Struthio camelus: one gene and its partners. The protein of the gene in region 1 binds, or shares a complex with, the protein of each later gene. Links are inferred from orthologs where the notes say so. Each region holds a gene or a part of one and is shown in the gene's direction. Other genes may lie near its edges.

Region 1 (10,218 bases):
TAGGGTGAAAATTAAAACAAAAATTAAACTGCAATATTTATACCAATTCAACCCTAAACGTGTGTGCATTCAGAGTTGATAAAGACTGATTGCAGCACTAGAAGATGTTCCTATATGACAATAAGCTATACAGATAGAAGCATTTTTATAAAATTACATCTATGTCCACACTGTGGGGTTGTACTGAATGAGGTCTCAAATATGCTAACATCCATATCGGAATGTGATTTTAGAATTGTGAAATCTTGTTTTTGCTTTTTGTTTATGAAACTCCTGGAGGAGTGGCAATTACAAACGAAATAATATTCAGTTCTTTATTCACAAGTTACTGAATCTTTAGCAATTTCTTTCTATCAAATGTTGCACTGAATCGGTACTAAAACCAAAAAGGTTTAAACTGACTAGAGATAATTTTCTTCCTTGCTATGAATGTTTGTATCCTTAGCAACTACACTATAACAATCCTACTAACTTTCTAGCTGTCCTAAGTCTTCCGAAGCAGGCAAGACCAAAGCATGCACTGGATTTTTCAACTTTTAAGCTGTTTTTCCTTCAGTTCTGCTCTACATGCATGTTCTCTATATAAGCAGACACATTCACAAGTGCCTGGCTTTTAAGAAATGCAGAAATTCCATCAATACCTTAATTTCTCCTGTGTGTGAGGCCCCAACATGGGCATCGTGTGACAGTGGTATACACCCAACACATGCCTGTGTATGGATCTGTGTGAGGAGGGAGAATCATCATGTAGGCTGTGGCTAGCAGGAGTCCTCCTCTCAGAGGAGCTCTTTGAGCGTGGCATCCCTCTGTGCAATATATTCTGTGGCTGGGATGTACGCTGGACGATGGGCTGCGCGCCAGCTTTAGCACTCAACATAGCAGGCTCAGAGCACTGTGCCAGCACCGTGTTGCCACAAGCAGTTAGGGAAAGGAGAGAGGCTCCAGCAGAGCCCTGCGAAAGCATTAAATCAGAGGTGTAGCTTATTTTGCATCCATGGCAAGATGTCATTTACTCCTGCCTTCGTCCGCCTGGGCTGAAGGGGTGGCCAGTATGTATGCCAGTGCGTGAGCAGCACGGTACGGTATGCTCCGCTCCACTGGTGTATACCACTACTAGCGTGAGCCATGTCATATGGGGAGACAGCCAGAGTCCCAGTCTAGCCAAGCTGGGGCTCAAGCAGCTACTGGCTTCTTCCAGTCTGCACTTATTTGGCATGCACCATCAGAATAGTGCCTAAATAGTTATTTCTTTGCCTCATCCTTCCTAAAGCCCTGTATGAGAGATGAGTAGGAAGACAGAGGAAAATAAGGTGGGGGCCAAAGGAGTCTCATATTAAATGGATGAGATAAATCAGGATACTAGTCATAGTGGTGAGTCATTACATTTGTCAAATGACTCAATGACAATCCGACATGGCGTGTACTTGAGTAGAATTAAGTGTTTCAGCTTGGATCATCACTGTAATCTTTGACTAAATAAGCAGGATCAGCTCCTGGACCCACTTCTGTTTATGTGCTCCTAAATAACAACTACACTGCATGGGATATCTTTCAATACGCAAACAGATTTGCCTCATCTCCATCTTACTAAAAAAATGTTGGGAGTGTTTAGCCATCTAACCAAATCACAAAGTAATGCAGCATTCTTGAAATTATTGGTTCTACTCAGCAGCTGGACAGAGATGTGCTCAATCTAATTAATTCACATGAGGTTGATGCAACATCTTAGTAAATGCTACGTTAGTGTTATACAGTTCTAGTGTTCTTAATCTTAAATGTAAGTGCATAAAGAATATCTCATTCAGATGCGGATCTCAAGTAGGTTGAGGCAAGATATTTAAATCTATTCTAAAATACCATACATCACTCTAGTAGTGAAAATGTTCATTTATAGCAGAAAATAGCAAATTCACCTATCATGCATTCAAAATGATTCATCTTTCATTCTAAATATTGGTTAGCAATGAGAGATTCAGCATATTTTAGTGTCAGACAATTACAGTAGTGTCAATATGCTGTATCCTGTGCATTGCAACTGAAAACAAGAAAATGCAGTACCAGTCCTCTCAAGAGTTTAAGCTGGTTTCAGAGACACTATTGGGAAATGAATAGCAGTTTCACAACATCATTTTATCATTTTGTAATCAGGTCAGAGGCCAATCATACACGGTCATAGCTGCCGAGTAGATGAGGTCAGAGTTCCTCCTCGCTAGTATAAGGTTATCAGTTTAAATAGCCTTAATAGGCCTTTCTGAGAAAGAAAAATGGGATATGATTAAAGTAAACCTTAAAGGGATATATCTCTTAATTTCTGGAGTTGCATGGCAGTTAAGCATGCAATATCCATCAAACGCAGTGAGGACTGTATGCCTAAATCATATTAAACTGTAAAAAAAAAAGAAGGACGCAGAATAACTCTTCCTGTAGAATAACTCTGATGGTATAAGAAACATCACAGTACTCCCAGAGGACTTTCTTGAGGGACGGGCCCTGTCGTATTAGGTGGTATTTAACCTGAGCAGTAGGCAGTGTAGTCTCTGGCCATGACTTATCGCCCTATAATGTATTATAGTAAAAGAACCAAAGATTGGATCTGCGTTTGCAAGTAAGGTATAGCTGGGCTAAGGCTACTAAGAAACTAGACAAAATTTGAAAATACCAAAAATTCATTCAACATTAGGAATTTTTTCTTTCTTTCCTCCTATTTTTGTGACTCATGTGAAAGCAACAAGTGTTGAATGCATCCAGCAGCTGCAGAATAAGGAACCTACTATCCCTTTTGATTACAGAACTGCTTTAAAAGCATGCTGAAATACAATTGAGCTAAAATGAAAGAAAAATGGAACATGTTGTGAAAAGTCATCTGTGTATCTCTTCCTTTTTGGCTGAAGTATGTTATTAATAAGTGAGTATGTTATTAAAAACTGAGCAGAGCGCTTCACAGCCAGTAAAAGACAATAGACCAAATGTTACTGTTACACACAGCTGGAATTTATTGATAAAACCACCACATTGTCTTTGCTCACGTAGTTTAAATAAAGATATATGATCAAAAGAGTAAATGCTCAGCAAGGTGGCGGAGAAAGGGTAAAAGATGCATAGAAACTGTATCAGTAAGTTGTAAAATGCATAATCAGATAAATAAAGTGTTTTTGCTGTGTGCCTTACTCTTTAAGAAAGTAATCTAAGGTTTGTTTGCATTATGGAAGGAAAATATTTCCAAAATAGCATTCAGAAAGAAAAGTGGTGATACTATCCCCAAATTAATCTACTCAGTGCATTAAAATGAGTCGATGCACACATATTTGTTATACTTTTCCTCTCCTTGTGTACATTCTTCAAGCAACAGAGAAAAGGGTTGAGAGTATTGGTATTAAATTATGTCTCGTTGTCATTTGGCTGAACAACTCACTAGCGATGTATCATTTACACAAATTAGTTCATTATTCAAGCTTGTCTTTTCAAACATGCTTTTTTTTACAGAAATTAGCATTGAGAATCTAGAGTCTCATTCACAGTCCAGTGAAGTTCTTGGAAAAATTTTCTCTGACTTCCGTGAGACTCTGAGAGAACAAAGTAGCAACTTTTGGGGAAAAAAAACCCCACCAACAAAAGAGCAGGCAAGCAAGTGGCTAAACATTCGCTACAGAAAAAACCCTCGCGATTGCATGATAGTACAGGTAAAACAGATTGAGTAAAACCTGTATTTTTGTATGGTTCCAAGTGTATGATTTAGCTAAATATTAGTTATTCCAGTATAAAGTTAGGTGTGAATTTAAAGTGGCAAAGCTATACTAAAATAATTCCATTTGTTCCACTTCTTCCTGGAAAAAAATAGTCACACATGGAATTATTTGGTAATGGTTGATCTGAATAAAAATATTTTGGAGTATCTCTCTGTCAATCAGCCTTTGGTGCGTTAAAGACGGGAAGATAAGGATAGGACAAGGAAACAAATCTTTGATAAAGCAAAGAGCAAGTGCACAGAAATGAACAATGAGCAGAATTGTGGAGAGCCTTGAAGGACAAGTTTGGGGTTTGAGCCTGGGCCGATGGTGCTCCTAGGAAATTGTTCTACTGCTGTAAGGCAAAGAGCCCAAGTATTTTATAAGATTTTATGTTCTCAGTACAACTGCTTTTAAAGTTCTACGAATGAGAATAGCAACTTCATTGGCTAGAGAAATCCATTTAGTATAGCTCTCAGTGCGTGAATCATAATTTAAAAAACAGAAGCAATGTGTTTTTTGCCACTTTGTTACATCAATAATAATTCTTGTCTGAAAACTATTATTTCAGTGATGTGTTGTAAAGAACAAATGATTATAGCAATTAAGTACAATGTAACAAATACAATAAATATTTCCATGGAAGGAAAGTATTTTTTTTTCAGGTTTCTCAGAATTAATTTCTACTGAAATCTCTATGCCCACTTAGTCAACGTTAGCCAGTGTTAATAAAAATTGTTCTTGTTCCTGCTGACCTTATCGAGAGCAGAATCAGAACCTGATTTAGTGGATTTTGAAGGACAGAGCTGGATTCAAAGATGAAAACTACATGAACTGCTCCTCTGTACCCTAAGAATACGAAAACATAATGCAACCCTATTACTCAGCGAAGATCTGTTCATTGGAAAACCACTGAGAAAATAATGAGAGGGGAAGAACCAGAGGAGGAGGAAAAGGTGAGAGGAAAAGAGAAAGAGGGCAAGAGAGAGCAAAAAGGAAAAGGGAATTTGCTTTTGATGTCACAGTTCTATCAACTCATGCATTTTTCATGGATACCAACTAGTTCTAAAATAATGCTGTGCTGACAATCCAAGCATTAAAAAAATCACCCAAGTTCCCAAATATCATGATACGGGCTTAAAAATAATGACTTTTAAAAAAGTATACACCAAGGGCTTCTATTTCCCTTCTGATTTATGAGCCTTGCAGGCTCACATATTAAAACCTTCCTCTCAGACTTGAGGTAGAGAAATGTAATTGTTTTTAATGAAAACTGAGGTTCCCGTTTACTGACATCTGCTGAAGAGCAAGAGCTTAAAAAAAACCTAAACGTTGCAAAACTTGCACTGTAATCATAGAGCTGGCAACACTAAATGTCACAACCCTAGCCTGCTGTGTGGCTTTGATGCAAAACTAGCTAAAAATTACAAGAGACGTTAGATACGTTAAAAGAGCGTTAACTAAATTTGCACTTATGCTCTTTGCTAGAAATTAACTTAAAACTGAAAGTGAAGATATCTCACAAATGAAAATAAACTGGTAGGAATTAGAGGGACTTATGCATTACCTGTTTTGTATCTCAGGCTTAATATTTTGTAAATATTTTTGTAAATATTTTGCTCAGGCTTACTATTTTGTAAGAAGAAATGAGCATTAACAGTTCTCAGTGCCTTTGATTAAAACCTGATCACTTTTGAAAAAAAGTAATTCAACAGTTTGACTGTAAAGATTCATTTAGGTTTTAGTCAGACAGGTCGTAGTAATGCAGATCACTGCCTTTCCTGGCAGTGGTAATGAAAACAGCTATGCACAGGTGCAGGGGACAGCACAGGACCTTTTATTTGCATGAACAGAGTTTTCAGCTGTAAACTTCTGTTTAGCTGTCAGCCTTCAAATAAAACATTTTTGCTCGTGAATAATTCTACAGAACGTCTACAATTATTTTGTGTGTCTGCAGGTCTGGACCTTACATGATGCACTACAACAGATGGGGAATTTCTGCGTTTTTATGTCTTTAAGCTGGCTAGCACTCTTAAGATCAAAATTAAGTTAACATCCCAATGTTAATTACCAGTGGCACTGTAAACGCATTAAGGTAATAATAAAAAGTAATGAAAATGAATACAGTGGTAAGTACACTGACATTTTCAAGTAGCTGGGGAAAAGCGCAGCATTGTTTAGGGGCCCACGTACAACTCTTACGCACAATGTTATGAATAGCTGATCTTAATTTCAGGCAAATCGTGCCCCTATTGTAGTTACACTGTGATAGCACTATATCCCTTGGCTTTTTAAGGAGCCAAGGAAGGGGAAAAGCCTCTTGTCATTGTACTACCAAACGCGGAAACCTTGGTGCCTCGGCAGCACAAAACAGCCGTGCGGAGCAGGTTTGTGCCGGCGCGCTGCGGGCGGCAGCGGGCTCGCCGGGTGCGCGGCCGGCGCTTCGCGGTGCCGCCCGCTGCTACCGCTGGGGCCGGCGGCGGCCGCGCTCCGCTCCGCGCCCCTGCGCCGCCCCGCCGGGCCCGGCGCCGCGCACCGCGCAAAGGGCCGCGCTCTCCCCGCCGCCGGCCCGGCCCGGCCTCCCCGCCGCGCTGTAGATCTTTAGGCTGATAATTCAAAAATGGAGGATGAGTCCTCTCAGCCATTAATTAATAATGTAGCTCTCTGTCTTCCTGTGTGACACACGCTGGAAGGCACCGAGCGGCCAATAAAGATGTAGGGGAGAGAAGTGGAAAGCTCCTCCCAGCAGCTCTTCCTGATTGAGGGCTTGCAGAAGTAGATCAAAAACTTCCCAGGAGCTTGGTGGGGGGGGGGGAGGCGGCGGCAGCGAAAAAGGAAGAGAAGCAGCGAGGGGCGCCTCCCCACGCACCAGGTGGGCAGCCGAGCCCCGGCCGCCGGGCGGGCAGGCGGGCGGGGGGCAGCCGAGCCCGGCGCGGCGCGGAGCGGTGCGGGCAGCCCGGCGGGAGCCGCCCGGCCGCGGCGGGGCGGAAAGGCTCGAGGACCCCGCTCCGGTACCGGCCCGGCAGGAAGCGAAGGAGGCAGATAAGCCATCGGCGCTGCCCGCGCTGGCTGTTTGCTCTGCGGGGCGGAGGAGTGGAAGTTGGTGTCCGGCGCGGCGTGCGCGGGTCAGAGGCGGGGGAAAGGGGTGACCCGGGGGCAGGGGAACCGGCGGAGACAAAGCGCGACGGCGGCAGCCGGGGTATCCCCGAGCCGAGCACGTTGTGTGGCGCAGGCGGGCGGGCGGGCGGCCGCGGCGGGGGGGGGGGGGGGAGCCGCCTCCGCCTGCTGCTCGGCGTCACGGCCCCATTGTGAGGCAGGAGGAGGAGGCGGGGGGAGGAAGGAGCCGCCGCTCGCTCCTCGCTCAGTCCCAGGCAGGCAGCGGCGTGTCAGGCACACAAAAGGCTGCCGCCGCCGCCGCCGCTTGCTCCCGCTCCTGCTCCCCTGGGGGGAGGGACACGCCGGGCCCCGCTCCCTCCTCCCCGGGCCGGGGGCCGCCGCGGCTCGCACTCACTCACTCACTCTCTCCCTCCCTTCTTCCTTCCTTCCTCCCTCCCTCTCTCCGTCTTTTTCCCTCCAATTTGAAGCGGGTCCCGGGGCAGGAAGGAGAGCACGGAGTGGGGCGATGCCGCTGCTGCACCGAAAGCCCTTCGTGAGGGAGAAGCCCCCCGCCGACCTCCGGCCGGACGAGCGCGTTTTCTACTGCAGGGTCACTAACGAGATCTTCAGGGACTACGAGTAAGAGACGAGCCTTGCCCTCCCTCCCTCCCGCTCGGCCCTTGTGTGTCGTGTCATGTCGCGTCCTCCCCCCCCGCTGCCGCGAGGGCAGGAGCAGTTTAACCCCCGGAACGGCTGACACCTGGGAGGGGAAGGGAGGGGAGGGGATTCCCCGGCAGCGCCGCGGGGAGCCGGGGGGGGGGGGCCGGCGCCGAGCCCGTGCCCTCCCGAGGGGGGTGGGGGGAGAGGGCGGATCTCTTGCTCCGGGCAGAGGGAATCCCTTCCCCTCCTCGGCGGGGTGTGCCGAGACCCCCTCCCCCCCGCCTCCCTTCCCTCATGGGGAGGGGGGAGCTCCTTGGCCGCTTCCTCCCCCCCCCCCCCCGCACCGCGCAGGGCGCGCGCGGCCCCGTGCGGCGTCGCCCTCGCCCCTGCCCCCGGCCGGCGGCGGGGAAGTGAAAGTTGAGCGTGTGGGAGGGAGCGGGCGGCAGCGAGGATCTGCCCGCGGCTCGGCCTCCCCTTCCCCCGTGGGCAGCCGCATGTCGGCGGCGGACGGCGCTAGGCCGCGGCCCGGCCCCCGCGCCGGCAGCCGCCCGCTGCCGGCGGAACGGGCCGCCAACGGCCGCGGCGCGGGCCGGGCCGCGTTGCGTTGCGTTCAAACGGCGCCGCGGGGAAGCGGCGGCCCCCGCCGCCTGACATGTGCCAGCCGCACCATTGTTGTCGTAGCAGCTGGGCGGGGGGCGCCGCCTGCGGAGCCCGCTCGGCGCGGCTCCCCGGCCGCCCCCCTGGCTGTGCCGGCGCACTTAACCCCTTCTTCCCGGTGCGCGGCCGGGCCGGGCCGTCAGCGCCGCCCACGGCCGCCCTCGCCCCGCCCTCGGCGGGACTGGCGGCGGGGCGAGTCGCTGCTGACCCGGTTGGAAATGGCTCGCGAGCCCCGCCGTTGGCCCTGCGCGCCCGCGGCGGGGGGGAGCGCGGCGGCCGCCGGGCGCAGGCCCTGGGCCCCGCCGCCGGGGCCGGGCCGGGCGGAGCGGGGGGGGCGCTGCACCTGTCGGCCGGGGCCGGGGCTGGACAGCGATCGAGCTTCCCCGCCGCAGGGCGCGATCGCCTTGTAAAATCGTCTGAAAACGAGCAGTGAGAAGTACACCTGTCCCCTCAGGATCTTTTCTTCTAGTTATGTCCCTCTGTCTCTCTCTCTTCCCCCCCCCCCATGCTTTTCCAAGTGTAAAAAGACCAATGGAAATTGCGAAACTGTTGTTAACTGTTGAAGGCTTGCGTTGGGGAAACGCAGCAATAGCCCCCCGACCTACTGTCGCTTACTTTATTGCTTGTGAGAACAATGGATAAAAAGTATTGAGAGAGACGTATTTTGAAAGGCGATCGACGTGCTCCTTTTTATTCCCACCCTCCCCGCCTAGAACAAAGGTCTTCCAAATCCAAACTCTTCTTATTTTTTTCAAAAGAAATGCAGACTAATGAGATTAAATCTGAAATACTTCTCATTTGCAGCATATGAAATTAGATCACACCTAAGTCTTTTTCATGTTTAGACTTGCTTTTCTTACTCAGATACACTTCACCTAATAACATTTTAAAGAAGTTGTATTAGGTAACTTTGAAGGATAATGCCTTACTGTTTACTGGAGAATCTAGTGCGTGTGCATAGGGTTAAATGTGTTTTTAGGAAGTTCTGTAAGGAGTGTTATCATACAGGGCATATGAGAACCTAACAAGCAGGAACTGACAACCTCGTGTTTCTGTAGAAATTAAGTCTCCCTCCCCCAACTTCCACCGTTTTGAAGGTTGCTTTTCTAGCCACAGTTGTTGTTATCACATAATAAGATGACTCTCAAGTATTTGTGGACACTGTTCTGAATTACGTTTCAGATGTGTGTAGTTTTGCTAAAGATTTCGCATGAAGAGTTATCTTCTTAAAACATCTTTCTGCTCTGAAAAGGTTTGAAGATTTCAAGTACTTTGACAGACTTATTTACACTGCAAGGATGTTGTCATTAAGAAAATGTATGAAAGACCAAATTCTGCATTTAACCAGAGTTAACAGATTTTGGGATAAACTTATGTTCACATGGGCTATCCCTAGAAATATCAGTGGGTGGTTAACCCAGAAGTAAGGACTAGTATATTGCATTTGTAGAATAACTAAAGTTTATTAAATCTCCTTGGACTTCGCGTTAAGGAGAAAATACTGCAGAATGATCTCTGTAGGCTATGGTATCAGGATATTTGCGGAAAACAAACTTTACCACTCTGGAACACAACAGTGTTCTTGTACTCTGCCTCTATCCAGAAGATGCAGTTTGCCTGCAGAAATTTTTGATGTGCTTGTTTTTTTTTTTTTGTTTTGTTTTCTTCCTTCCTTCCTCTTTCTTTAATATTGTTTAGGCTGGGTAAAAATTGGTGCCTTGATTGGTCTGCTCGGTGTTTTTGTACTTAGCAATGTGTTCTGGCACAACTGAATAAGAGATTTGACGTTAAGTGTAGTATAAAGCACTGAAGAGCATAGGGTCATCTTTTAGCAAGTTTAAAAACGTTGATGCTTGCCTCTGTTAGGTGCAAAGCGATGCTTCAAATAGATAATGTTTTCTGAGAAAAACATTGTCCTTTTCTTTGCTTAAACAAGGGCAGTTAATTAACAGGGATAGAGAGGCTGTACTTTAAAAAAAGTTATTTTAGCTGTTTTGTGACAGAAAACCAATGTCTAGATTAGTCTGTACTTGAAAGGACGATGCTGCATCGGTTTGTGCTTTTTTTTTTTTTAATCTGG
Region 2 (9,572 bases), on another chromosome or scaffold:
GCAGATTATTTTTTGGAAGATTACTTTTCAGTTGCATCAGCTCAACCTAGTCACATACTCCTAGAGCTAGCAGTAGTTCCTACAGCAAGTAGTAAAAGCAAACAACCGGGAGTAAGCTCTTTCAGAGGCATCCCATTTTGATGGTGGCACACCTTAATGCGGCCCCCTTAAGCCACCTCTGTGGTTTCATTTGCATTCTGAATAGATTCGCTGAGCACACACAGTGTTGCAGATATAGTTTCATGACCGTTCCAATCTCTGCAGCGGTCAGAAAGACACTGAATGATCTATCGTTATTCGATGCAAACCACTGAACACCAGATGCTCTGACGGATAGTATTTTTCTTGGTTACGTCTTTGAAAGAGTCTAAGCGCTCCACACAAAGGCATCATTGCTCAATTTCCAGAAACTTAAGGATATGCTACAAATTTCAGTAAATAGACACACTTTTAACCACTCTGACCTGTCTCCCCAAAAGCCAAAAACACTCACTTTTCCAATGTTATTCAAGACCATGAAGCTGAACTGTCTAGGTGAGATAACGTTTGACCCTGCTGCAGAGTTCAAGCCTGGGAAAATACGTCTTTCTGAACTGGAATACAAATAGAAGTGAGATTCATGGTGAGAAAAATGCTAAAGAACAGTATGAAAAGCAAATTAGAGGTTACCCTACAGGTTTCCTTTTCAAAGCACTTCTCAAAGAGAATTAACAAAGCCAGCATTAATGGAACACTTGGCCCATGCAGCTGAAATAGCTCCTTAATTCCGTCTGTGAACAAATAATTTGTGCTCATATCATTCTTGTGTCAGAAGGGAAAGTCTTTTCAATCAGTAGAATTTTAGCCTGAGGATGTTTTTTTTTTTTTGATAACTAGAACCTCTGAATCAGTTTATGATAAAAGGGACCCTAGGGAACAGTTTTGATTTTGACACTGGGATAGCTAGAGTGGTTTGAGCTTTGAGGATGCAACAGTTGGATTAGAAAGCCTTAGTCAGAGATGATCTAGCCTTAGAACAACTGAGTTCAGAAGGGGAGTGTGTGAGCGACATCTATATGCCAACGTATTCCACTGGGAACTGGGCTCCTCTTTGTTTCTAGGCTATTTTTACTTTAGGGAAAGGAAAGAGGGAATGTTTTGAGACATTAGAGCTAAGTTTCAGGACAGAAGTATAAAGAATAAAGCTCGTTTTCTTTAAAAACAGGATACCGTCGAGAGTTTAAAATTCTTATTCTATAATGAAAAAGAAAAGAATGCAGACCAGCAAGGGCCAGTCTATGACAAATTTAAACTAGTAAAAGTAAGTACTGTAACAACATCCCATGCCATGGAAGCCACTCGGATCCGAGCTGTGTGTTCAGCTTCCAGAGCAGCTGGTCCCTTCCTGTTTTGTTACAGACATGGAGCTAATGGGACACACACTTAACTCTGGCCTTGAGCACTTTACTGTCCCCTCTGACTCATGCTCTGTGATAACTTACTCTGTGAATAGCTCCACAGCAGTTTAGGGTGGATCCAGTTAGTACTAATGAGGGGAAAGAGGTGTGAATTGACTCACCAGCCTACAGGGGTTATGAACATACTCAACCATTTGCCGATTCTATACCACCATATGGGCATACACATTTAATTAGGACTTGTGTTTCTTCAAGAATTTTATTGCACCGATCTTAATAGGGCTTCAGTACCAACAGAGACTATATATGCACTCCACAGTGACTACTATACAGAAATAATCTGTACTTCAAATTTTTTATTTATTTGGTCTTAATGATACAGAAGCATCGTTTTCAAGGAAATAAACTTAAGCAAGACTCAACCATTACTGCTAACAGTGTATTCTACACAGTACAAACAACATTTTGTAAGCTGTGTCCACTACAGCTGAACCTAATGTTTCTGTGAGCTCTTTGAGGAAAAAAACACAAAAAAACCCCAAAAAACAAAAAAAACCCAAAAACAAAAAAAAAAAACAAAAAAACAAGCTATCACCTTCATGCCTGCCCTTACTGCAGGCTTAAAACTCACAGATGGATGTTCAGAGCCATTCACCTGACAGCACTATCTTCCTCCGAACTCTCTTGAAGCACAGAATTTAGAAGAGAGGGTGCAGCAGAGATGGAGAAAGTTCTGTGACACTTGGAACATTGGACGCATCTTCTCAAAGACTTGCTGGGGGGGATATTTACTATTTTCAGCGTTGGAAATTCATCTAAGAAAAGTAAAGCAAATGCAAGGTGAACATCAAGGATCTGATAAGTAAAAACTGCGTGCAGTGTTTAATAACTGTTTACTGCCACTGAAGACACAACAGCTCCATTGGTGTATTAGCCCCATTTATAGTAGCCAGAATTTCTAGCTAAGGAAACAATAATTCACCTTATAGCAACCGTGATTCTTGGAGAAGTTCTCTACGTGCAGATCATACTCCTAGGGCCCAAAGTGCCAAAAATGCAAGAAATCACCACCTTCTACACCACAGCATTTTCTGAGCCGTGCATGAGCCCTGCAGAGCCTCAACCCGCCATTCTAAGGGCAAGAAGGTTAGTGCAGTATCAACCACCAGTCACCTCCTTTGCTGCTCAGAGTCTCCATTAAAGGACTCTGTGAAGCTACAGAAGAGAAGGGCACTTTGTCAGACTGCTCTGTACAGTGTATCTCGAGGAATTACAGTAACATAAGTATAACAACTCTTTCTTCTTAATTATCTGTCCATAGCGACCCCATTCTTGCTGGTAGGCAGCAGAAACCCCCTTAAGAAGATGACAGCAAGTTTTGTCAAACACTGATGAATCACTTGGGTAAACAGGAGATCAGACCCACAGGCAAACACTAGGAAGTAGTGATCAAAGAGTGTACACAGGGAGCTCCAAGCAGCTGATATGCAAACCTCATTTACAAAGACTTTCCTGAAGCGTGTTAGAGGACCTAGGGTGGAATTGGAATGAAACCTGCTACTAGCTTATGGACATATACTTAAGGAAAAATGCATGTTGAAGACTGAGTACCTAAATTTAACAAGAAACCATTGAAACAAGCTGCCAAGGAAAGTAACTCTGGCTTTCTTGATATCAGCTAATCAAGGTTAGTTACCTTAGGGAAGAGATGCTTTATTTGAACAAGCTATTGAGATAAATCCTGAAGGGCATGAATACATTATACAGGTCGGACTAGGCAATCTAATGTTTGCTTCCAGCTTTAAAAATCCAAAAATCTGTGAACAGTCTTCAACTTCACTAGCTACCTCATGTGAAAACTGAAAATTTCCTTGACTTCACTAGGATTTCAAGTTAGTTATCTCAAATGCAAGAATGCTCTTTTCCCTTCTTCTGTGAAGATAATAATTTAACCAAAACTTTACCTTTGCTTTCCAAAAACGTTCTAGAAATTGAATCAGAATTTCTTAAACGGATCCGAGGATGTCCCTCTTCAATCCTCCTTAGTGTATCCCAGCATTGTGGATGCTGACAAATAACCTTATCACAAATAGTTTCGTCCCACTGGCTTACATCTGCAGTCATCCTTTTTGCAACCGCTCCAGTATGAAGGGAGAGTGGTAAGATGGTATCATCGATTTAAATACTCTGCAAAACAGAAAATTAGTGCATATTAATTTAGCAGAAGAAAACAAACCTGAATACATATACAGTATAACGTTAAAAATAACCACATTGCAGGGTGGGGATCAAATCACAGGCTGCCCTCAGGCACATCCATCCTAGGTCATGACAAGCTGACAACCTGCCATTGTACCCTGTCACTCCAGAGCTTTGATATCATAGTTCCTTTCTAGTCTCATCTAGCTGTAACATGCAAAGCATGTAACATGTAAAATGTGACCTGCAGTAGTAAACTTCACTGTTACAAGTCACATTTTACACTGGTACAATAATTTCTCCTTGTGGCTTTGGAATATCTACAGTGACATAAGAGCAGTGGTTTGGCTATGCTAGCCAGTGCGGAAAAGCAAAAAAGCGGGAGACAATATCACCATTACATGCCTCAAAGAAAACGCAGGTTAATTATTACTTTAATAGATACAGCGTCGACCCTCTAGACGTTGTAGTTAAAAACAAGCACACCTTTTTATCTCAGTTATTTCACTGGTGACCAAAGCATCCAAGAAAGAAGAGAGTCCATCATGTCAGAAAGATATACGCCTCTTCATGATGAGAAGCATCTAGAAGAGGTTCATGAGAGCAGCAGCTTTGGGCTGTACCTCTGTCTGGCCTTGGGCCAGCACCATTTCTGTTTCTACGCCAGTCCACCCCCCTCACCAGAAAACAACATAACTGTGTCTTGCTTTCTTCTCAAATTAGAAAAGGTGTGTACAAAAGACAACCTCGCCTCTGGCGAAATAAAAAACAAAACAAGCCACAATGGCTTCTAATGACTCTTCTAACAACAGCGAGCAGCCAGCCAACTCAGAAGTCTGTATTAGCACCATCTATTACACTTACAAACGGACCAGTTACAGTCTCTCATTACTTTCATTAGAAACTAATCCAACACCTGCTACAGCATCTTGTCTCTGCGTGCCATAAAGCATCCATACAGTTAACAGTAGAATACATTAAAAGGTGCTAAAAATGAGATTCAAGAGACATGATTTGTACATACAGGTGATAGCTTTTATTAATCCAACCAGTACAACTGGAAACGTAATCACGTCCTCAGGCAAACAAGCCTTTCTTCAGGTCTGACCTTTCTACACCGAAGATGTTGCGTACTATTCCCAGAATACCATCAGGTGTAAAATAAGCTCCAATCTTTACATATAAATTGGTCACGTAAACATCCACAAGCTACTGTTGGAAAACGTACACTTTGCATGGAGAAAAGATGCATTGACCATTAACACTCCCAATTTCAAAAATGACCTCTGACACCACACCAGATTAATCCACTGCCTTCTAACACTCTGAGTTTACTTCAATTACCTTGTCAGGCTATCAAAAGCGATAAAACCTGATGAAATCAACTGAAGAGAAATTGAGGCGCGGCGTTACGCGTCGGGGGCCGGGGTCCGCGGGGAAGCGACACCTTCGCCGAAGGCACGCTCGGCACGGCCTGGCGCCCCAAGGCCCAGGCTGCCCACGAGGCCCCGCGCCGCAGCCACATCCCCGCGCCAGCGCAGCGCTCAAGCGCGCGCCCCAGGCTCGCCGCCAGGGCTGGCGAGGCGAAGGCCCCCAGGGCGAGCCACGGCCGGGCGAGGAGGCCCCCGCGCGGATGCCATGCAGCCCAAGGCGTGCCCTCACGAGGCCGGAAACCGGTGGGCGGGCCGGGCACCTGCCTCACGGGCTCCCCCCAGGCTCTCGCCCCCCTGCGCCTGATCCCTCACCAACCCCCCAGGCTCCCACGACCTGCCCCAGGCCCTGCTCCCTGCCCTGAGCTCCCACAAACTGCCCCTGTCCGCAGCCCCCGAGTCCCACGACCTGCCCCCGGCCCTGCTCCCTCACCTCAGGCTCCCACAAACTGCCCCTGTCCCCCCACCCTGGAGCCCCATGAACTGCCCCCATCACCCACCGCCCTCCAACTCCTCCTGCCCCGCTCTCACTCCCGCCATCCCCACCCCGCAGGCGCCCCGCCCTGCCTCCTTAGCCCCGCCCACGGCAGCCCGGGCCCCGCCCACCACGCCCGGGCCCGCCCCGGGCCCCTCGAGCCCCGCCCCCTGGACGCACCCCCTCTCCGCCCCCCCTTGGCCCCGCCCCCCTACGCCGCGCGCCGCGTGCCCGTGCCCGCCGGTGCCGCCAGGCTCCCGCGCCCCCGGGCCTGAGTCGCCGCCGGCGGCGGCAGCCCGTCTCCTCGTTACCGGGCGGGCGCTGCCTACCGGCCAACGGCCGCGCTCGGGGCGCGCGGCGGCGGCCGCGGGGCAGGCCGGGAAGGGGCGCGCTGCACGCTGGGAGGGGTCAGAGGTGAGAGGGCAGCGGCTGGGCGCGCGGTTCGGTGCGGCGGCCGCCGGCACGCGGCGAGGTACCGCGGGCGCCGGGCCGGGCCGGGCCGCACCTCCCCCCCCGCCCTCCCCCGGCACCGGGCGGCCCCGGCGAGTGACGCTCCCGTTTGCCTTGCAGGTGGCGCAGGATGGCGGAGAGACCCGAGGACCTGAACCTGCCCAACGCCGTCATCACCCGCATCATCAAGGAGGCGGTGGGCGCGGCGGCGCGGGCCGGGCCGGGCCGGGCCGGGGAGGCGGCAGGGCTCGGCAGCGGGGCCCCGGCCTCGGGGCGCTTCCTGGCGAGCCGGGGGGCCTCCGCTCACCGCGGAGCTCGGGGCCCGCGTTCCGCCGCCCCAGGGCGAGGGCAGCGCCGGTTCCCGGGCCGCGTCCCCTCGGCGGTCCGGCGGCGGGGCAGTCGGCCGTCGGCGGCCCCGGCGAGCGAGGGACGGGGGTGGGTGGGTGCCAGCAGACAGACTCCTCCGGAGCAGCCCCCCGCGGCAGTTTCTTTATTCCACGTCTTTGCTGCCCTCTCGAATTCCCCAAACGTGCCCGGGTGCCGGGAACAGCTTGTCCGGGGAGAGCGGTGGGCGCAGCCTCCCGTGCCGTCACGCGTGTTGTGCACCTGTGAGGAAACCTGTGAGGAAAAGATCGGCCCCCAGCCCAGTTTTCCAGGTGTCAGGAGTAACGATCCAGACTCTGAAATCCTACGGTAGAGGCAGGAGCGATGGGGCAGTGAGAACCCTGTCTTCCTAAACCAGCTCCCAGAACAAAATCAGAGCAGAAACAGATGAGGGCTCAAGTGCAATTTCTTTTCTGTGTAGAAGCCTAGAGTAAGTCTTAGTTATTAAGTTAATGATATGATGATCTTAAGCTATGAGGCGTCAATGCATGAGTTTGGATATTGCTGGATGATTGTTCTGCATCAAGAATTTGATAGTGATCAGATGAATCGCCACTGAGATGATGGCCAGACCCACTGCTGATGCAGAATTTACTTTCCTTTTATGTAGCTTAGATCATCGTTAACTTTCAGCTACTATCAAACTTTCTGTAATAACATCTGAGATAAATAAATCTTTCCACGTTTGCAGTCATGCTGAGCTCTCTGAAAGCTTTAGCTGAGCTGACACGTGAATTATGCAGTCTTGAGCCATTTATAGCAGCTACTGATAAAACTCGAATTTGCTTTTCAGCTTCCTGATGGAGTAAATATTTCTAAAGAAGCTCGGAGCGCAATATCTCGAGCGGCAAGTGTGTTTGTGCTCTATGCAACATCATGGTAAGAAGTGGTTGGATCAGATCACCAGTGCAGTTGATTTATAACTAGCCTCTCTGTTGGCTCTCCTGGAAATGATTTTTTCAATGCGCTAGTGAAGTGTTGACTGTTTATATGAATAAAACAATCTTCAGCCTAGCCCAGTCCATCAGATTGCAGCAGTCAGATTTGGACTGTCCTGTACAAACTGAGGGAAGACAGATATGACTCTGTAGACGAAGGTGTCTTCCTACCCCGTGAGGAATAAGAGCGGCCCCCACACTGTCCTCTGGCCTTGGAGCATGGCTGTATGGTATTTCCAGGCAAATGCGAAAGACCTTTGCTCACTTTCCAGGCTCTCCACGTAGCTGCGTTAGGACTAAGCCTGAGACAACCATAGGCTGCCTTGGAGCTGATCCCAGAGGATACAGTAACCTCTTTTGGGTGGCTGGGTATATGGCCATGTGTATATGCTCAGAATATGCTGTGCAGACAGTCACTGCTCTGGTTTTAAGTACTCACCCAGATTATGGAAACATGAACAGTCAATGTAAACAAGAAAATATCTTTATTACAGTAAATCAGCTATAGTATGTGGTAAGAACAACTGAATGTTTAGGAGATCACTTTTGGGGGCGGAGGGGGGGAAGTTGTTTGTGACCTTAAGAAGCAAGAATAAATTGATAGTTATTATCTCTGTTCTCCTTGTTTTTGACTAGTGCAAATAACTTTGCAATGAAAGGGAAGAGGAAAACACTGAATGCTGGTGATGTTCTCTCTGCCATGGAGGAAATGGAGTTTCAGCGATTTGTAGCCCCTTTAAAAGAATCACTGGAAGGTACTGGTCTCAGTTCATGTCAAGGGAGTCTAAGTAGCACCAAGTCCTACTTTCCTAGAAGGTTCGACAAGCAACGCTTATTTCCCTGTCTTGTTTCTCTTTTCTTTGCCCAGCATCCTACACTGCAGTTTGCCTGGGGAATAAATAATGTGCACCTTAACAGGACTGGGATAACATTATTTCACAACTGATGAGGATTGGGAAAGTCTCATCTGATATCATTCCCCTATTATGTTTGTCTAAGGAAAGTCTTAGGTGCTGCCTGTAAATGGGAACTCCTGCGTCCTTTTCAGCATATTTCTGCTGAACAGCACTTAACCTGATTTCCTATGGAGCTGCTCAGCACAGCTCAAATAATAGGGTGAGTTGCTGCTCTGAATTCACTGCTCCTGTTGTAACCCTGGAGAGCAAGTGGGCATTGGACTTCAGCTGCTCTACTATTCATACAGTGGATAGCCTGCAAATTTTCAGTGTTTTTTTTTTTTTTTTTAGTTTACAGACGTGAACAGAAAGGAAAGAAAGAAGCAAGAAAAGATAAAGACAAGAAGGCAGACTCAGAAGAGCAAGATAAGAGCCGAGAGGAAGAGAATGATGACGACGACGAAAGAATGGAGGAAGAAGAGCAAAATGAGGAGGAAGAGGTGGACAACTAAGCTTTCTGATGAGACGTGTGCGGGAGTTGGGCTCTGTTCGTAGGGATATAAATGCTGTAAATCAATTTTGCTGTGTCCCCTCTTGGTTTCCAGTAGAGCTTTGTACTGTTCCTCTGGGGCCCATCCCCTTTTGGCTTTGACTTGTATATAAAGGACTTCTACAGCTTTTCTAGTGGAAGGACCACCTCCTCCCTGTGCACGTGGAACTTGGCGCTCTCGCCAGATTCTGACCCAAACAGTAATGACTGGGTAAAAAGACTGGGGTTCTTATGCAGGGTTGGCTCTGAAATACAGCAAAAGGAAATGTTAGATTCTCACTACAGAAACTGGTCGGGAGAACATGAGGAAACTGTTGAATAAGTTTGTTAAACCAAGTCGGAAGCTGAATTGAGTAGGTTATAACTTTTGAGTTACAGAAACTGCCTGATGATGTTAAGAGAGACACCTTCACGTCTCAAAAGCTGAACGTTTAAGAGTTTTATCCAAGTGACTTCATTTTCCCTTCATTTTCTTGCCTTCTGGCTGCGCCTTCTCTTTCTGCTGTGACACTGATAATGTGGTTTACAACCTCACCAGTTGTATGCAGTGATACAGAACTGACTTGCTGCCCAGAATCAATCCAAATCAAAAGAACTTTGCTGCAATTATAATGTAAACTAAATACCAAAAGTGCTTGTTTTATATCTTTTAAAGACCCTGGGAGACCAAGAGCAATTTTATTAAAAATCTGAAGCAAAATTAAGAGCTAAGATGTGTTGTGTATCAGCAATGATGCAACGTTGTATCAAGTGGTACATTTGTTGCAGGTCAGCAGAGGGCACCCGTGGATCTGATGGTCTCCCCACCTCTCCTCCCTTTGCAGAGTTGCAGTTCCTTCTGCAGACAGGTTGT
Region 3 (9,677 bases), on another chromosome or scaffold:
CATGCACGTGGTGCAAACATTGCCCTTCCCCCAAAGAGAGGGATGAAAATGAGTTGAATTACCTCCAAGTTTAACTTTTCTAAAACAATTTTTAGAACTAGTTATTATACAAACACTTTCGGGATAATAGAAAATACAGTTAACTACTAGCTTTGGACAGAAAATGTCATTTAAGTTAATTATTGTTAATATGGCCTCCTTACAGCTCACTATTCAGGAGACCTTGTCACAAGTATATTGCTGGAGAAAGATTAAAGGATTTGGGAAGGGTCATAGGAGCACAAACCTACTTCCAACACACAAACGTTATATATAAATGCAGACAAATGAATGCTCTTAAACCATTTAGGATGATAATTACTTGAATAACCTGAACACATGTATTTCCCAGTGACAAGTCAAAAGCCTCTGTGAAAAAAAAGGAGCTGGGGATTTCTCAGCTGACAGTTAGGTGTCTCTCCTTAGAAAGCACCGCATTTATTAGCTTCACAGATGCATGTGAAGACACAAGGGACGTAATGCAAACTCACTTCTTTGCACATTACTGGCCTCTTGACAACTATGGAGAGAACTGGAAATCAACACTCAGCTACCAGACTTTTCTGTAACAGTTTTACTTTTAAAAAAAATACATCCCTGCTTACAAAACACCCAAAACCTCTCCCAACCTCACTTTACGAAGCTGTTTATTTTTGTATTCCACAGTAATCCAGGAGAGCAGACACGTTTCCCCGGATGTCACATTCTCTTCCAGCATGCTACTCATTTTCCCCCTAAGGCACTGAAAAACTGGCCACTGTAGGACAATGTGTCACAGCATTAGGTTCTGTCACAATGGGAGTTTAAGACAGAAATCTCTCGTCTTCGCAGCTAGCATATAGTTTAATAGTTTTAGCTATATTCTAGAAAATAGCTCACTGTGGGAATCAATTGTGACTGAAAAATTCAGCCTGATAAGGACTGTAGATTGAAACGGTAACTTCAATAGCATTAACACTTATTTGAAGATTATGGACAAGCAATTGCTTGGTGTGAACTGGTGTGAATTGATTTAACAGTAATTCAGGGATAATACAGATGAAACTACAAATGGAGCCATTCTGTTTCAGAAAGAATACAAAGGTAGGAAGCTGCACACCCCTTTCGGGAGGGAAGATAGCCATAGTCAAGCTTAGCCAAATTTAGGATGGAGAGGGTAGAGGGTGACAGTTTTAAATAAACAAAGTAATCATTTTTTGTTCACATACTTTTGCCAGGAACGTGACTGGGAGCATTTCTCACAGGAACATGATTGCTACATTTATTTCTACAATAACGATGCAGGTACTTCACTTTGTACTTTGTTGTGGTATCAGCGATACCAAAGCACCTTAAAGGTTTGGGCTCAGCTGAACAGAGCCAATGCTGATCGTTACTCATGAATCTACTCTGTACCCTTGGTTGGAGAGGGGTTCAGACACGCTTTTGACGTAGTTCATCTCAGCAGTCTGTTGTTGTTTCACACTTTTTTCTTGCAAGACAAAAAGGTGATGGTGATAAATGGCTTGCAGAAAGGCAGAGTTACGATTAATGTAAATTGGAGCATCTAATATTTTAGCATCTCTAGGAAATTATTTAGATTGAGGCTGTGTAAACACAGTGATCTAGAGCTTTGACACTGCTGTTAAGCTACTCAGTCTCCTGATACCCTCCAGGTTGTGGGTATATAATGTCCTGCATAATCCCAGGTGGTGGAGCGAGTCTGAAGAGAAGTTACCTAAATGGGCATCTATCAAAATCGGAAATGGAAGATCAGACTTGGCATTTTTTGCCTGAAAACCTGGCTCCCATTCAAACATTTCTGAAGCTGAAAATCTTCATCCTTTCAGCTTTTCTAACGGAGGAACTCCTACACTGAGAGTCTTACCTGAAACTTCAAAATGGTTAGGCATATTAGTGACCACTGTCAATTCAATCATTTTCTATTTGCATTTGTGCATTAACATCTACTTTACCAACGGCTCAGATTTATCTCCAAGTATGATACAGCCTTATACATCCCCACTCAATAACACGTCATCAAATGCCTTCAGAATCACTTTTTTTTTTCCTCGTGCAAGACAACGCTTCTGCTTCATCATAAACTTCGTTATAAACTGTTCTCATTATTTGTGAATGCTACTTCCGTATCGCTGTGCTTCAGATGCCAAGAACACTACTGCAGCATAGTTAATGTCTTTTGTGATGGTATGCATTTCATGATAAACAGCTTTTTATTTTAATATATCTTTACATTTACTGTAGCATGTGCCAATTGCTTATCCAGATACTGCGTTTATGCTTTGCCAGATTGACTTCTGCTTCCTCCCTTGTTCGCTGACTCACACACATTTTTTCACTGGTCCAGCACTTTCCTACTGTTCTTCACAACATAATGGTCAATGTCAATAGTCTTTTTTCTGATTACAGATCATAAATAATTTACTCTCTAATTACTCTCAATGCTCTTAAATGTGCATGGGCTGGTTTTAAAATGCCACTTTGCAACATAATGGTCAATTTTTTTAGCTATGCTCCACTTTTGTGTAAAGAAAATGTATTCGTGAACTTCTTTGGCTTTGCCAAGCAATGTGAATGTGCAGTCTTCATCACAGTCTCTCTGGAATAACTGGAAGAGCTTCAGTGCAGCTAGAATTGCTTCATGCTCTTTCTATAATATATTTGCTCTTTATCCGATAATACTCTAACTTATCTCAGTGACGTTTGGAAATTCTGCAGACACCTTCTCCAGATTCCCTTCCATGGGGAATTGTGATACATCATGTTTATCATGATTTTTCTTTTAATACCATACAATAAAGGAATGATACAGGAAAGCATTTTTCAAAGATACAGCACTCTTTTCTAGTTTCAGGCAGCTCACTAGTACATATGAATGAGTTCTGTCCCTGTTTGAGCAGGCCAACTATTCACTGAGAGGAAGCTTTACTACCACAATAGCTCTACTTCCACTCAGTATAGGACAGGAGAAGTCAAATTGGTAAATTAGGGAGTCAAATCAGTAATTTTCTTCAGTTAGGTTCTGTTTCAGATTCAGCCCATGAATTTGTTACAGTTTTGTTCTGGTTCAGAACACTAATAGTTCATACCAGTAACCTGGGATTTATATGCACTGCGTCACAGATAATGAATTAAAATAGCCATGCTACAGGGTGAGACCGCAGCAAGGAAAATTACCCCAGCCTCCTTTTCTGCCAAAGCTTGCACAATACCTATACTGTTAACACAGTGCTGCAGCATCTCTCCAGTTCCCTAAAAAGGAAACCGAGGTTGAGAAGCTCGACAGAAACTGTGGCATTGCACTGCGCAGGAAGGAAATGAGAGAGAGGGATGAGCACAACGTGTCTAATCTCTTCTCTTTTCCTGGGAAATACGTCCATACACAACCCAGAGATACATATTTAGAGTGAAACAAGTGAGATCGCTGCAGGGAAGCTCAGGTAGGCAGGTGGCAGTGACAAGGAACAATTCCTTACTATGGGACAAGAATTGTAGCTCTGGTCACTCCATTGTGTTTCCAGACACAGCGTAGTTATACCTCACCTGAGGTGCCAAAGTACCTCCACTGAGCAGGTTCTTATTCAAGGCCGCAAAGCACAGCAAAAAGGAGGACTAGTGACCCAAGCAGGAGTAGAAAAGGAGAGACTGATGTGACAGTGCTCTGCAGTTTGTAATTGGTACAAATAGTCTCTATGCTGAAGAGATTTCCACTGGGGCATATTAGTTTTCAGTGAAACTTGTTCGAATTCATCACAAAAGATACTTATTTCAGCTGGGTTCCAAGTCAGGTTTAAAGAATAATTCCTAGTAACAGTGCCAGTTCAGTCCTGATTCAAAAGAACTAACTCTAGTTTGAACTCTACAGATCTGTGGGTGGTTTTTTTTTTTTTTTTTTTAATTAGGAACAGGTTCAGTCAGTTACTGGTACCACAGTAATGCTGCCATTTCAAAACGTACTAAAAAAATAATTATTAAGTGCCAGTAACGTTGCAGTATAATGGTATCCTCAGAGCGTGTACACATCCACTTTGTGTCATGCATTGTGCTTCTGCCTCCTGCGAACCAAATCTGCATTAGCAGTGGGAAGGGAGAGATGCCAGAAGTTTGCTGTGCTCCCACTCCCGTCCTCTGTCAGTCGAACGCCCTCCTCTTCCCAGCACCGTGCTGAATGACAGAGCTGTCCCATGGGCCCTGACTCTGGGAGCAGTGGGTGGGTGAAGGGAAAAGCCTGAGAGTGGGACAGGAGCCAGACAAAAACGAGCACGTCCCGATTTGCCCAGACCACTTTACGCTACATTGTCCACCACTGAGTAAAAGGACCACTGACAGGTGCCTAGCTCCTATAGGATCTACATGGCTCCTAAACCCATATCCAGATGGCTCAACACCATCAGAAATTTTGGTAGTTTCATGGGTAACTTCATATACTGAAATCATGAAAGATACCAGCAGAATTCACTGTCATGGCAATGTCAACTGTTTCCACAAGATGTCACAAGTAGATAAGGATCAAAGAAACTGAGCCTGCAAAATAGCATCATACTATGTTATGCTTCGCTTTAGCTGTAACTGCCACAGAATAGCATCAACAAAGTTGTAACCTCAAGGGATCTTTGCAGTCTAAGAGATTTAGATTGTCTTTAAAGACTAATAGGAAAAGACGTCTCCAAATATTGTAGTGCTGGAACTGTCACATCACCCTTGCACTCAGGTATCGACATGTGCTGAAGATGTTATTTTTCATTAATAACCCAACATCACCTGTATGAAAACCTTGTCCTTATGTACTGGGCAAAACCTGCATCAGCTGATTATATCCTGCTAACAAATTCCCTGCATTTTCAATTTAATACAATTCTCTTTACTGACACTTCCCTTTCTGCCCCAAACTCGACACGTACTATTTCTGCACGCCGTGGAAAAGCCTCTACGCGTCTATTAAGCGGCGATCAAATAAGTGACCTTAGCAGACTTCTTACCAACACACGCAATCAGGCACACTGCTCGTAAAGCGCACTGAAAACTTTTGAATAAAGACACTAAGGAAACGCAAACAGCGCGTTATCCTTTCCGCGAGCGCCGAGTTGCTCGCGGAGAGGCAGAGTACGGCAGGTCTCATCCTCACAGGCACGCGCGAACTTTCCGGTCCAGCCTTATCAGCAGCAAAACCCTCCCTGCCTTCGGTGGGCCTGAGCGGACGCCAGCCGCTGGGAAGCGGGATACGAGTCACCCGAGCAGAGACGCACCGCGGTACGCTCCTGCACAGGCCGAACGTGTTAATAACAAAGACACTGCCCTATTATCACTTAATACCTTCCACGGGCCCTCCGCATCTAAATACCTCCCACGAGCGTCACAGCCCTCCCTCTGACTGTCCCTACAGCAGCTGAGGCGGTATTTAGCCACCTGCGATTACAGATCCGTGAATAATTTGGTAGCCAGTGGCCTGTAATTAGGGTAGACAGAGGCGGGGCTGCTCCCGAAGCTCAAGCGCCCGCCTGGGGCTACGACCCGCGCGGAGGGGCCGCGGGAGGGAGCAGGGCACCAGCCGGCGCCGAGAGAAGCCCCCTCCCGGGCCCGGGGAAGGGGAACCCCGACGGCGGGGCCGGGCCGAGCTCTGAGGAACCAACGGCGCCGCCGCCGCCGCCGCCGCCATCGCCTCAGGGCCCGCGGTGCATCACGGGAAGAACGCTCCTCCCGCGGGAGGCGCGGTGCACGGCGGGACTTGTAGTCCTTCCCCCTCCTCTCCTCGGCGGGCGGAGCGGTGCCTCATGGGATTTGTAGTCCAAGCCTCGCTGCTTAGCCGCGGGGCGCGGCGTTCCCTCTAGTGGCCGAAGACTACAGTTCCCAGCAGGCTGTGCTGCAGAGGCCGCCTATTCCCCCCCCCCCCCAAATCCCCGCCCGCCCGCGGCCGGGTTTGGAGGGCCGGCGCCGGTCGGAGGCCAGGCGGGGTTGGGGGTGGGGGAGGAGGAGGAGGAGGGGAAGATGGCGGCGCGGTTGAGCGGCGGCGAGAACCGGCTGGTGTCGCTGCCCCTTTCGCGCATCCGCGTGATCATGAAGAGCTCGCCGGAGGTTTCCAGCATCAACCAAGACGCTCTTTTCCTCACCGCCAAGGCCACGGTACCGGTCGCCCCTTTCACCTCCCCTCCCGGGCCGGGCCCGGTTGTGAGGGGGGGGGGCCGGGCCCAACGGCGCCGCCGCCGCCGCCGCAGCAGCTCTCGCTGCCTCCCTCCGGCCCTTTCCTACCCGCGCAAGCGGGAGGTGAAGCCTCGCCCTCCTGGCTGCTTGTCGTGTGGGGGGTTTGGGCGCCGTCCGCTGCGGCCGAGCCGCCAGGGCCCGCGGGAGCCAGCGTTTCCACCGCGCTCAGGAAACGAGCCCGTGTGGAGGCCGCCTCCTGCCGCTTTCCCCTCCCGCCTGCGGCTTGCTGGGCTGCGGGAGGCCCTGGCGAGCAGCGCGAGTGAAGTTCCCTCAGCTACATCCTGACCTTGAGCCTTTCTGAAATCCGTGGGACTCTGCGCAGGGCGTCCCACAATACGTACGGTTGAGCAAAGGGCGTTAAGTGGGGATTAACGACAACTGCTACCAACTCTATGTATTAATTCACTGCTTGACTGTTGACTTCGTTTTGATTTTTAGGAGCTTTTTGTACAGTATTTGGCTACCTACTCCTACAAGCATGGCAGAGGCAAGGAGAAGAGCGCTCTAACTTACAGTGACCTGTCTCACACCGCGGAAGAGTGTGAAACCTTTCAGTTCCTTGCAGGTATCTGTAGAGTAATAGTGAATCCAGGATGTAGTTTGGAAAATGAAACGGTGCTGTCACAGAAGCGTTCTGTGAGGACACGATTCTCCTACTGGTTGTTAGTGTCCTGTACAGCATTCGACTGTACCTCATGAACTACATCACTGAAAACACTTCTTTGCAAAAGAATGGGTATTTTTCCAGTGCTGGGAAACTACACAAGGCCTGTTAGTCCTCTGTGTATTGCTCTATCCGTTTCTTAGATGCAAACAACGCAATCTGAAAGCTTTCAAGCCTATAAAATGAGATCACTTTAGGTCTTTCTGTGTCAACTTCTGTTATCCCAGAAACTACAGATGTAAATCTACAAATCTTAATTCTCAAAGAGAGTCATTCTCTGGTTCCACTCCCCCTTTTTAGTGTGTAAGTATATGTGTGCACGCACATATACATTTTTTGCTGGTACTGAGATTTTTGTTTTAACACTTAGCTCAGAACAGATATGGGAAAAGGATATGGGTTGAGGATGAGATGTACCTAGCCCAGTTTTTCTCCGAGCACCTTATGGGCATGCTTTCAGAGCATGCAGTCCTGTTTTGTCACAGGTCCATCATTATTGCCCTGAACAATACCTTCCTTGAGTACAGAAAAACAATTTCCACAGAACATAAATGGGATGGCTATCCAGTTAAATGAGCACTCATTTTTATTTGATGTAAAAGTAAAATGAAGTGATTAGGTAGTAAAGAGAGTGGTCTGTAATCAGTTTTATAACATATATTCCTCATCTTTGATTACTTGTACCTTAAGTGGGCAATTCCCTCCTTTTCTCACAGCTTGTTCATAAGCCAGAGTGAATAATCTGGTTAGTCGCTAAAAGTATAATAACTTTTCAAAATTGCCTCTGTTGGACTTTGTTTCAGTAATGATATGGATGCAACAGTATTTATGAGATAATTTAAGTATTCAAACTTTCTATAGAAGAAGCAATTCTACCTTTCAGATATCTTACCAAAGAAGATCCTCGCTAGCAAATACCTAAAAATGCTTGAAAAAGAGAAGCGAGATGGAGAAGTGAGGGAAAATGACGAAGAGGATGAGGAGGAAGATGATGATGAAGAAGAAAGTGTTGAAGATGTTGGATCTTAAGGCTAATGGAGAATTACTTCATAGTTAATCAATTTTCTGTTGTATAAAGGATGCTATTTTTGTGACTGAAAATCCATATGCTGGATATATTTATACACTGAGCCATCTGCTTTTGCTTTAAGAAGTTTAGAAATTGAACTTTATCCCTGCTGAAGAATGGAATTCTTCTCTCAGACGCATGATGGGGAAAGAAGAGTTGTTGTAAATCTGACAGCAGAACTTGCTCAGACGATTTAAAATGACTTCTTCAGACAATCGTTATCCAAATTTAAAACGTCTTATGGGCAATGCAGCTTTCAGTCCAAAGGCTCTTTCTCCCTCCAACCAGGAGTCCTCCACCACTTTCTCTTTCCTCAGAGAGGAAAATGAGGGGAGGAGAGACTTCTTACGCAATGTCCTCTGCCTCCCTAAGTAGACAATAACTGATCAAACCTTCCCCCAGTTCTCTGGAAACGTGCCAGGGCATTAGCAGTGGACCAAGCCCATCTAAAACAAAACAAAACCCCCCAAAAACCGCTTCTGTAATGCAGCTTAAATAGCCACGTCTGCACAGAAATGAGCTAGAGGTTCAGATCCATTCCGATAGCTGATGTGGCTCTGCGGCCAGCAGTAAAAAGTAGATGTGTTAGATAATGATGTAAATATGTATATCTAGAATCTTTTTTTCTAGTGAAGTCTCTACTTCTGCAATTTGTCTGTGGTTTCCTACCAAAATGGACATTGTTTTAAGTTTATTGAATGTGGATTGTTGAGTGGCAAGAGAATTAGCAACTGTTTTACCATTTGAGCGGTAGAGCTGGATTTTTTCTTTTTTTTTTTTTAAACTACAGAAATGGTGACAGTCCTGTGTAGAACTTTGTATGCAACTTTTTAAGGAAAATAAATGTTTTATATGAAAAGTGACAGTTAATGCAGAGGCTTTCTACAGTTCTTTCCAGCTTCAGTCACGTCCCTGGTTAACGTATGAGCCTAGTATGCTTGCTGTTCATCTTTCCAGAAAGGAAAGGGGGGGGGGGGGGCAAAGAGCTATGCGATGCTTGGAGCAATCGTCTGAGGTGTTCTCTATTAGCAATGCTAACTAGATTTAGTCTGCTTTGGGAGCCTCACCACTGTTAGCCAAGGGTCTCTCTAATGTTTAGTCAGAAAGAAACTGAACTGACTAACATGTCTCTCTAGATGGAGGGAGGTTAAGAGAAGAATGCTTCTTGTGTTCCACTACCTACCTCGCAGACACTTACCGAAACCAAGCTCTGTTCTCCCTAAGCATGGAAAAAGGTTAAGGAACTAATTCTCCACATCCAATAAGCCAGGCAGCAACCTGCCCTTAACCAGGAAATGAGAGGTGTCATACAACACACTAATTTGGATGGTATGGCAAAGAGTTGCCTGCTAATTATTCATGCTGTATCCTCCCTGTCAGGATAACACTACCAGCTTGTCCCAGGCTGAAGGCTCAAGTATGCTGAGATATGTAAATTATGTCTGAGCAGTTGGGGGGTGGGGGGGGAACCAAACAGAGACATGCTCACGCTCAAAAGCTGTTGAACTTACTTAACTGTTTGGCTCAGTTTTAGAAGACCTGGGGTTTTGCCAGGCGTAGATCATAAGGGCCAATATCAGTGACTTGATAGTAAAGGTGCCCAAGCAGCCCCGCGTGGAGGTGAGCACCTCCCATTGCTCACAGTTTGCAGGGGACTGATCATGGCTGGATTTTGGCACTCAAGACGAGCTGCTGCTCAGCTTGCCA

What was found.
Region 2: BAZ1A (region 1) and POLE3 share a complex: the UniProt entries of both Homo sapiens proteins name them as parts of the CHRAC ISWI chromatin remodeling complex. The link is inferred for Struthio camelus from reciprocal best matches to the Homo sapiens genes BAZ1A and POLE3.
Region 3: BAZ1A (region 1) and CHRAC1 share a complex: the UniProt entries of both Homo sapiens proteins name them as parts of the CHRAC ISWI chromatin remodeling complex. The link is inferred for Struthio camelus from reciprocal best matches to the Homo sapiens genes BAZ1A and CHRAC1.

What each region holds. Positions count from the first base shown.
Region 1 is NC_090946.1:55,198,569-55,208,786, reverse strand, and holds the start of BAZ1A (bromodomain adjacent to zinc finger domain protein 1A), read left to right. Parts: upstream 1-6,262; 5' UTR 6,263-6,597; intron 6,598-6,662; exon of another isoform or gene 6,663-6,850; intron 6,851-7,309; 5' UTR 7,310-7,347; coding exon 7,348-7,460; intron 7,461-10,218. UniProt on the Homo sapiens protein: Regulatory subunit of the ATP-dependent ACF-1 and ACF-5 ISWI chromatin remodeling complexes, which form ordered nucleosome arrays on chromatin and slide edge- and center-positioned histone octamers away from their original location on the DNA template to facilitate access to DNA during DNA-templated processes such as DNA replication, transcription, and repair.
Region 2 is NC_090961.1:12,218,948-12,228,519, reverse strand, and holds POLE3 (DNA polymerase epsilon subunit 3), read left to right. Parts: upstream 1-5,721; 5' UTR 5,722-5,915; exon of another isoform or gene 5,916-5,973; intron 5,974-6,071; 5' UTR 6,072-6,081; coding exon 6,082-6,147; intron 6,148-7,128; coding exon 7,129-7,214; intron 7,215-7,909; coding exon 7,910-8,028; intron 8,029-8,520; coding exon 8,521-8,681; 3' UTR 8,682-9,423; downstream 9,424-9,572. Other genes in the region: C20H9orf43 (uncharacterized protein C9orf43 homolog), read right to left, coding at 494-593, 2,053-2,212, 3,362-3,521. UniProt on the Homo sapiens protein: Accessory component of the DNA polymerase epsilon complex. Participates in DNA repair and in chromosomal DNA replication.
Region 3 is NC_090943.1:168,238,796-168,248,472, forward strand, and holds CHRAC1 (chromatin accessibility complex protein 1), read left to right. Parts: upstream 1-5,943; 5' UTR 5,944-6,024; coding exon 6,025-6,159; intron 6,160-6,675; coding exon 6,676-6,802; intron 6,803-7,784; coding exon 7,785-7,930; 3' UTR 7,931-8,840; downstream 8,841-9,677. UniProt on the Homo sapiens protein: Forms a complex with DNA polymerase epsilon subunit POLE3 and binds naked DNA, which is then incorporated into chromatin, aided by the nucleosome remodeling activity of ISWI/SNF2H and ACF1.